Linked DNA regions of Coturnix japonica. Each later gene encodes a partner of the first gene's protein in a complex. Links are inferred from orthologs where the notes say so. Each region holds a gene or a part of one and is shown in the gene's direction. Other genes may lie near its edges.

Region 1 (4,121 bases):
TGCAAAGTCTGTGGGATCCTAAAGTATAATATAGCATACACTCACTACCACCACTAGTTATTTGGTCAGAAGTTTTCACTGCTGTGCCACACAGTTTCCTTTCCAGTCACTTATCTTCTGCACAGCACATGGTAATGAAATTGCCACAACTAAAATAATAGCAAAGGGTATTTCAGAAAGCTTTCCTCTGATTCAGTCAAATTAATAATAGCTGTGCATTGTAGCTCCCTGCAGGGTTTGTCCTTGGAGTACCAGTGATACTGACCAAATGTGGAATGGCAGTAGATCTCAAGGGCCTTAACAGGCACAGAAATCACTACACACATTACAGGTGTATTGAAGTTGTTCTATCTATTGTGTTCAAGAAGAAACATAGCACTCCAGAGAGACCCAGAAAGACTCAAGCTGTGGGCCTACATGAACACATGAGGACAGGCTGAGAGAGCTGGGGCTGTTCAGCCTATAGAAGAGAAGGCCCTGGGGGAGACCTGAGGGTGGCCTGTCAGTATCTAAATGGGAGCTGTAAGAAAGGAGACAGACTCTTTAGCAGTATCTGTTGTGAAAGAACAAGGGGAAATGATTTCAAACTAAAATAAGGGAGATTTAGATTGGATATAGGGAAAAAATCTTTTACAGTGAGGGTGGTCAGGCACTGGTAGAGGTTGCCCAGAAATGTGGTGGCTGTCCCATCCCTGGGGACACTTAAGCTCAGGCTGGAACAGGCTCTGAGCAACTTGATGGAGCTGTAGGTGTCTCTGTTCATTGCAGGGGAGCTGGACTAGATGGCCTTTAAGGGTCCTTTCCAACCTCAATGATTCTATGAAATAACCAATAATCAATATATTAATACACGTACGGCCATCTCCAATGGAAATTTCACAGCAGCACAAAACCCATCCCCTGGTGCAAACCTGCTGAAGCCCATTAATCAACTCCAATTAACCCTTCTTTCCTAGACTGAATTCCAAGGCCGACGGCTTGGATGACTCTGTCTAACAGCACCACCTGGTGACACCTGCCGCGACACCACAGCTCGGCGATCCACACGTCAGAATTTGGCTGGAATATAGATTTTATTCCTCAATCTTTCGCTCCGCGATGGGAGGCAGCAGAGCAGGATCCCCGCACAGCAACACCGCGATGCTCCCTTCCCACCGCACCCATCCCTGGAGCCGACCGAGCGGAACGCGCTGCGCGGGGCCGCGTTGCTCGGGGAAGGCAAAACGCGGAGGCACCGGTGGACGGGGCCGGGCTGGCCGCCATGGCGGTGGACATCACCCTGCTCTTCAAAGCCAGCGTGAAGACGGTGAAGACCCGCAATAAGGCGCTGGGGGTGGCGGCTGGCGACAGCGCTCGGGATGAGCTGCTCAAGCGCAGCGCTGCCCGCTCTAGGAGCGACTTCACCGGGCGGGCACGGGAGGTGGTGAGTGCGGGCAGCGGGCGGCCGGGGCAGGGGGAAGGCGGCGGGCAGCCCTCCCCGGGGAGCCGGGGCGAGAGAGTGGCTCCTGAAGGGCCGCAGAGAGAGTCGGGGCAGCGCTGGCCCCAGGCGGATGTGGGCCGGGAGCCGGAGCTGATGTGGCGGCCGGAGGGATCCCAGCCCCACCCCCCGCACCCGGCTCCCGTAACTCCAGGCTGGGGATCCGGGCTTCCATGGCCGCGTCCCCTCGGTGCCCACGAGCCCTGGGCTGCCATGTAGGTCGGCTCCGGAACGAGTGGGCGAGTCTTTGTAGTGCCGAGTTGTGCCTTATTGCACATCTGTTTCTTGTGTCACACGGTATGGCGGGTCCGTATATGCCGGGTCCGTATGAACTGGGGTGTCATACAGCTTGGAGAGACAAGCACTGAGAGGCGAAGGAATTGCTGAATTGGAGGCTGATCAGCGTTAATAATATTACTAAGTATGATTGTAAACTTGTTGCAGGTTCTTTACCCCCGTACTGAGCAAAGGGTGCGGAGGGGGGATAGTGGTGTCAGAGCACGGTTTGAGTAAGGCCCTTAATCAGGCACTGGAATGCACATTGGAGGGGTTCAAGGCCAGGTTGGCTGGGCTGCCTGCTCAAGTGGGTGTCAGCCCTGCCCATGGATGGGGAGGGGATTGGAGCTGGGTGATCTTTAAGGTCTCTTCCAACCTAAGGCATTCTGTGATTTGGAAAAGCTGGGAGGAACAGCCTGCTCAGTGTGCTCTGTGATTCTCTATGAGGAGACAGACTTCCAGAACACACGTGCTAGTGTAGGGCTGAGCAAGGGATGGCAAGGAACCTTTGGCCCTTAAGAAACCAATGATACAGTGATGGACGTTCCATTGCTTCACATTTATGAAATGCTGTTAGAATTTACTGTTTGGGTATTAGTGCATTTTGGTCAACAAAAACAATTTTGGTTATTGTCCTTGGACTAATAGTTTGACAGAACAATTTTGCATTCAGTGAATGTGGGTATTAAAGATTGTTTCAATCACACTTCTATAGACTTGCATAATAACTTGGTTTTGGTATCTGATTTGATACCAATATATAACCAGTACAGATATCACATAGGACCAGCTTATGTGACACTTGTTCTCAGCTTTACCGTAGTCTTATACCAACAGGTTGGCACTTGCACTGTCTTAGACAATCTTATTTAAGCCATCTGCTTTACTTTTTATGGCAAGTACAAGCTATTAGGAAGATCATCTGTCAAATATATACTTATTTGAGAATATTGAAGGGATGAGATTTAATCACTGCTGACTGTTCAGTATGTGTTACAGAAATGAAATTAAGGTTGATACTGCTTATTAAGAGAAATGCAATGAGTGGCAAAGCTGAATCTCACAACGGGCTTGATTCCAACCAAAAGTTATTACTTTTTTTTTTTTCTGTTTTGTTAGGGAGATTATCTGGTTTTTAATGTTCTTGCAAACAGCTAGAAAATTTAAGTGCTACAAGTTAAATTCTTCAAAAGCAGTATCTGAAAGCATGTCCTTGAGAAGGGAAAATTTGAAAGGTTAATAGTTTCTGAGCCTTTAAATGCAGGATTTCAGAATGATAGAATGTCTGTGATTGAAGCTGTTGAACGCGTAAGAATGCCAGATTCGTGGGGCTACAACATCTGTTCTTCATATAACTTCTTTCTCTGTATTCTGTAGAATGATCAATTCTTTTATATTTTATTTCATTTTTTAGTCCATATAATAGGCCCATATTCACATCAAGAATATGTTTGGTTGTGCTGTTTCGTCCTCTATAATGAGCAGGAAAAATCCCCATGTTCAAGTTAGTGGCTTCAGAACACAGTGAATTACATCTGAGTTTTTAGAAGACCAAGAAATATTCAAAATGCTAAAAACAGTGGAGAAAAATGTGGTGCCTACTAGCCTGGTCCCTACTAGCAACTAACACACAGCCCCAGTTATAGCACTGTTTAATTTGCCTTTACATGTGAAAAGGAGACAGTCAAGTGAAAGCTGGGTCTGCTTTGTTCTCTTGCCAGAGAAACCAGAATGTCAGTATTAGCACTCAGACTTTTTTCAGTTATACAAACATCTTTAATAATCCAACAATATTGTATTTTTCAAGACCACCTGCCAATTTCCAGTTAATTACTGGATCAAGTATTCCTTCTTTTCTTGTTGAAAATGTCAGTTAAAAAAATAAAATAACCCGAATCAAAGAATCACCAAGATTGGAAAAGACCTGCTTACTGTATTAACCTTTTTAATAGGATAGGACATGCAGTTGCCAGGTCTAGAATAGCCCTGAATAAAACCTCAATAAAACCTGAATATGGCCTCAAGTTGCACCAGGGCAAGTTTAGGTTGGATATTAGGAAGCACTTCTTTACAGAGAGGGTATTTAAGTACTGGAATAGGCTCCCCAGGGAGGAGGTTGAATTGCCATCCTTGGATGTGTTTAAGAGCCGTTTGGATATGGTGCTCAGGGATATGATTTAGCAAAGGGTTGTTAGAGTTAGGGTACTATGGTTAGGCTGCTGTTGGACTTGATCTTCAAGGTCTTTTCCAACCTGGGTAATTCTATGATTCTATGAAAACAATCTCCAGAACATCCATATCTGAGAACTAACATTAAAGTGTGTGGCAGAACACAGCTGGTAAGTCAGTCTGCATGGCCATCATTGAG
Region 2 (3,968 bases), on another chromosome or scaffold:
CTCAACACGGTTGCACAACAAATGCCATTTACTATCCTAATTTCTCCAGCACACCAGCTGCTGCCAGCAACGCTAATCCTGCAGACCAACCTTTTAAAAGGGACCTGCTGTTTCAAAACCGACTGCTGGAAACAGTTAGTGCAGGAAGGGAAGTGCACATGCTTGTAAGATAAGCACAGGTTTTCCCCACCAGCTTCCCTCCTACTTCAGAATGGTGCAGAATGAGTCACAGATCTGCAGGGCCAGCCCTAGCCTGGTGGAAACCCTCTGAAGGAAATTTCCCTGGCAGACAGTTTCAAAAGGGAACTACCCCTGCAGATGATCTAAGGTTAGAGTCACTCGCACTTCAGCTTCCTGACCCGGTCTTTTTCATGTTCTACACTCATTATTTCATGCGCCAGCTTTCAGATCAGGCACCCTAATCCAATCCCAGCATCCATTCACACCAACTCCTAATTGTCTTTTGCTTACAAATCACAACAATCCTACCTGCAGCTCCTCCCTAGGTGTGAGTTTTATTACCTCCAAACCTTGCCTAGCATCAAGGCTCCTCCTACTCCTCATGCCCATGATTATTCCCCTACCGGGTTTAACTTGCAATCTGGATAATAAAGAAAATCCTTCCCATGTACTTTTCTTCCAGCATAAACAAGATAAAGGGAGGCTTCTTAGCTGCTTCCTAGTAAAGCATCATTAAGAAGCAGCTTGCAAGTAACAAAACAAAGCAGTCTATGACATCTCCAGGGCAATAATGCAGAGACAGATGCTCAGAGGAGATGGGATAGCTGGGCAGCACTGTGAACCCATAACACGGCCCAACCTGCTTCCAGGCTTGCTGACAGCAGCAGGTGACATCAGGCTGAGGTGTGATGCTCACTCACCTCCTGGTTGTAGATCTGAAGCACCTTGAGGACCGCGTCTTGCTCCCCGCTTTCCACCGTGGCCACTACGGTCCTGAGCTCCATGATACCAACAGCTCAGCTACAGCAGGATGGGAAGCAGAGAGGAAAGGCTTCCAGAGCTCCTGGATAACAGCGGTGCAAAGGGACCTCGATCCTTGAGAACTGAGAGGCAGTGAGAAAGGGGGTGGGGAAAAAGAAACAAAAATCAAGCGAGCCGGCTCACTGCTGCGTCCATAAAGCAGACGGGTGAACCACGTACAGCCTCTCTGCCCCTCTAATCCTCTTCTTTCCTCTTTGCTTTCCGACGTTTAATGCATGCCCTCCCAGCACAGCGCTGGGACACCCCCCCCTCCCCACCCGAGGATTACCGCAGCAGATCACGGTGCTTCCCGTAATAGCTCCCCGCTCCTCACTACCCAACAGGGAAGGCGAAGGCCCAGCGGCCATTTTACAGAGGCGGAGCTCCTCCTGCCGGGCGGAGCCGCCTTTCGCCGTGTGCCGCCATGGCGGACTGGGGGCGAGGTGAGGGGGAAGGAGTGAGGGGCGCGCTGAGGGGCTGCTAAAGGGGGCGCCCCGCCGCCATCTTGGGGCACCCCGCCGCCATCTTGGGGATGTGCCATGCTCCCCAGTCGGGATGATGAGACGCGTTTCTTTTCTCCTCAGGACAGAATGCGGTTGCTATGGAGGATATGCTGGACGTGGAGAACAAGCGCATGACAGACAACCTGGCCAGCAAAGTCACCAGGCTGAAGTCGGTGAGTTGCTGGCGCTGCTATGGACGCTTGCAGGGTCTCAGGGACAACGCAGTTGTGTGGGCTTCCTCAGTGCTGTGGGCATACGATGGCTGACGTGTAGCAGTAGGAGGCAGTGCTGGTCCGTCAGCTGTTGTCATATGTCCAACATAGGGAAGTTTCTGCCAGCTTTCCCAGATTATTTCCACAGCAAAAGGATTCCCACAACCCCAAACTGCAGTGAGTGAGAGGCCTTGTTTTGTGGCTGTGCTTAACAAACCTCCACCACATCCTCTAGTGTGGGCCTAGATGCGTTCCAGGTTGTCTTGGTGTTCATTAACGTCAATTTCCTCTCTTATGCTGTGTAGCTGGCTCTGGATATTGATAAAGATGCTGATGAACAGAACCGTTACCTGGATAGCATGGTAAGGAACCAAAAAAGAAGGGTAAAAAGCATGAATTTCAATGTTGGGACCAGTTTGGTCAAAGGTGGGAGCTTGGAAGCTTAATAGCTTGGAACCTTAATAGCAGTGTATGGCCTTGGAGTATCTGAACTGGATATTTGTTCAGCCTAGAAATCAAAAGAGTGGAGAGTTGGAATGAGAGATGTAAAGACAAGAGATCTTAAAGGAGAAGCCCCGAATCAGCACGCAATTGTGCTTCTATTAGAGAAGATTTAGGGATATTTCAGGAGAAACGTGAGCAAAAAGTGGGAGGTAGTTTATGAGAAAGGAAAACAGACGTGGAGTCGAAATGATAATGAATTGCTTTAAGACTTGTTTGCTGCCACCTGGTGGTGTTACAAGTGTATGCTGCCCCATGCTGAAAGAAAAAAAAGAGAACTAATGGAAAGAAACTGCGTGGTTTTGGTGCTTTTTAGCCTGCCCTGGCAGGCATTAACGGTGCTAGCTTTATGTAGAGATACTTGGTATGCAGTATTTACCTGTGCCTTTGCCACGAGCGCAGGCAGGGAAGTTCCTCATAAGAGAGACACGATAGGTACAGAGATACAGGCAGTTACAGCGCAGCTGCTGCAGTTGTTCTTTAAGCAGGAAGCTGGACCCTCCTCATGGGCTGCCTCTCCAGTTTGAAATGCTGCTTTTTGCACTTTGTTTCTCCTCTAGGATTCGGATTTTCTGAGTGCTACTGGGCTGCTGACCGGCAGCATGAAGCGATTCAGCACCATGACACGCTCTGGGAGGGAGAACCGCAAGTTACTCTGCTTTGTTTCTGTAGGACTGGTTGTTGTTTTCTTCATCCTCTACTATCTTGTGTCCAAAGCTGGGACTTGATCTTGGTTCTTGCGTAGTTTTACTGAACTAAATCAATGTGATTGACAGACTTGTTCAGCGCCTTTCTAGATCTGCCCTGCTTTGGGATCCTTGGGACTTCCCAACAGACATTCCAGATAACTTTTAACCAGTGTTTTGTCACCATTCTGGCTGGTCTTGGAGGTAAAATGAGTATTTCACTGACAGCACATCCACCAGGCTGCTCTGGATGACACATCCCACCGCACATATAGACCCTGCAGCACCCAGACCTGGAAGAGCTCAGTCAGCCCCTGGGTGATGCCACTGTTGTTCAGCTCCTGCAGCATCACATCTGTCACCTTTCCTTGGCAGCTGCCTGCCCTGCAAAGACCATTCTAACTGGATTTCCACATATCACCTGATTTTGATGTTCATGCCTATATCTCTCGTCTCATCCATGTCTTGCAGCCAGTTCTTAAGGGATACTTTTGTCTTACCTCCATTACTAATACCTGGCATATCTGACAAATCCAGATGGTTATCAATACAGGTTTAATAAATCAGAGGTTTGGAAGCTGCAAAGTTTAGGCTGTAATGATTTATAAACTTTGGAATGATCAATGTGTGACTTAATCCAGCATGACCCCAATAAACGTGTGCCTGGGCTGGGTATGCCCTCATCCCCCTACTACCTAGCAGGAACTCAGGTGTTCAAGTGCTCCTCTGCACCCAACCCATAGGGCCCCATACATTCCCACCCCCAGGCATTCAAACACAGGGACAAGGCTTAACTTGCATGCATTTAATTTATTGTCCTCAACTGTGACACATGGGCTGCGTGCAGCATGTCCCTAGTGCAGGGGGATGTCACCAAGGGAATGGAATGATGTGACACGTCATGGGGGCTGCAGGGACAACATGGGATTGGCATCGATCACTGGGGTGGGGAGAGACTGTGGGGTATAATTGGGGCTGGGAGGGGAACACAGGGTGACCTTACAAGGTGCGGTATGTCTGTATATATGTGGGAACACATGGGATGCCCCTAAATACACAAGGTAAAAGCCTGTCTTTGTGGCAGG

What was found. The genes of interacting proteins can lie anywhere in the genome.
Region 2: STX18 (region 1) and BET1L share a complex: the UniProt entries of both Homo sapiens proteins name them as parts of the SNARE complex. The link is inferred for Coturnix japonica from reciprocal best matches to the Homo sapiens genes STX18 and BET1L.

What each region holds. Positions count from the first base shown.
Region 1 is NC_029519.1:71,390,222-71,394,342, reverse strand, and holds the start of STX18 (syntaxin-18), read left to right. Parts: upstream 1-1,199; 5' UTR 1,200-1,261; coding exon 1,262-1,423; intron 1,424-4,121. UniProt on the Homo sapiens protein: Syntaxin that may be involved in targeting and fusion of Golgi-derived retrograde transport vesicles with the ER.
Region 2 is NC_029520.1:1,401,994-1,405,961, forward strand, and holds BET1L (BET1-like protein), read left to right. Parts: upstream 1-1,281; 5' UTR 1,282-1,405; coding exon 1,406-1,424; intron 1,425-1,565; coding exon 1,566-1,657; intron 1,658-2,001; coding exon 2,002-2,058; intron 2,059-2,757; coding exon 2,758-2,925; 3' UTR 2,926-3,468; downstream 3,469-3,968. Other genes in the region: RIC8A (synembryn-A), read right to left, coding at 882-965. UniProt on the Homo sapiens protein: Vesicle SNARE required for targeting and fusion of retrograde transport vesicles with the Golgi complex. Required for the integrity of the Golgi complex.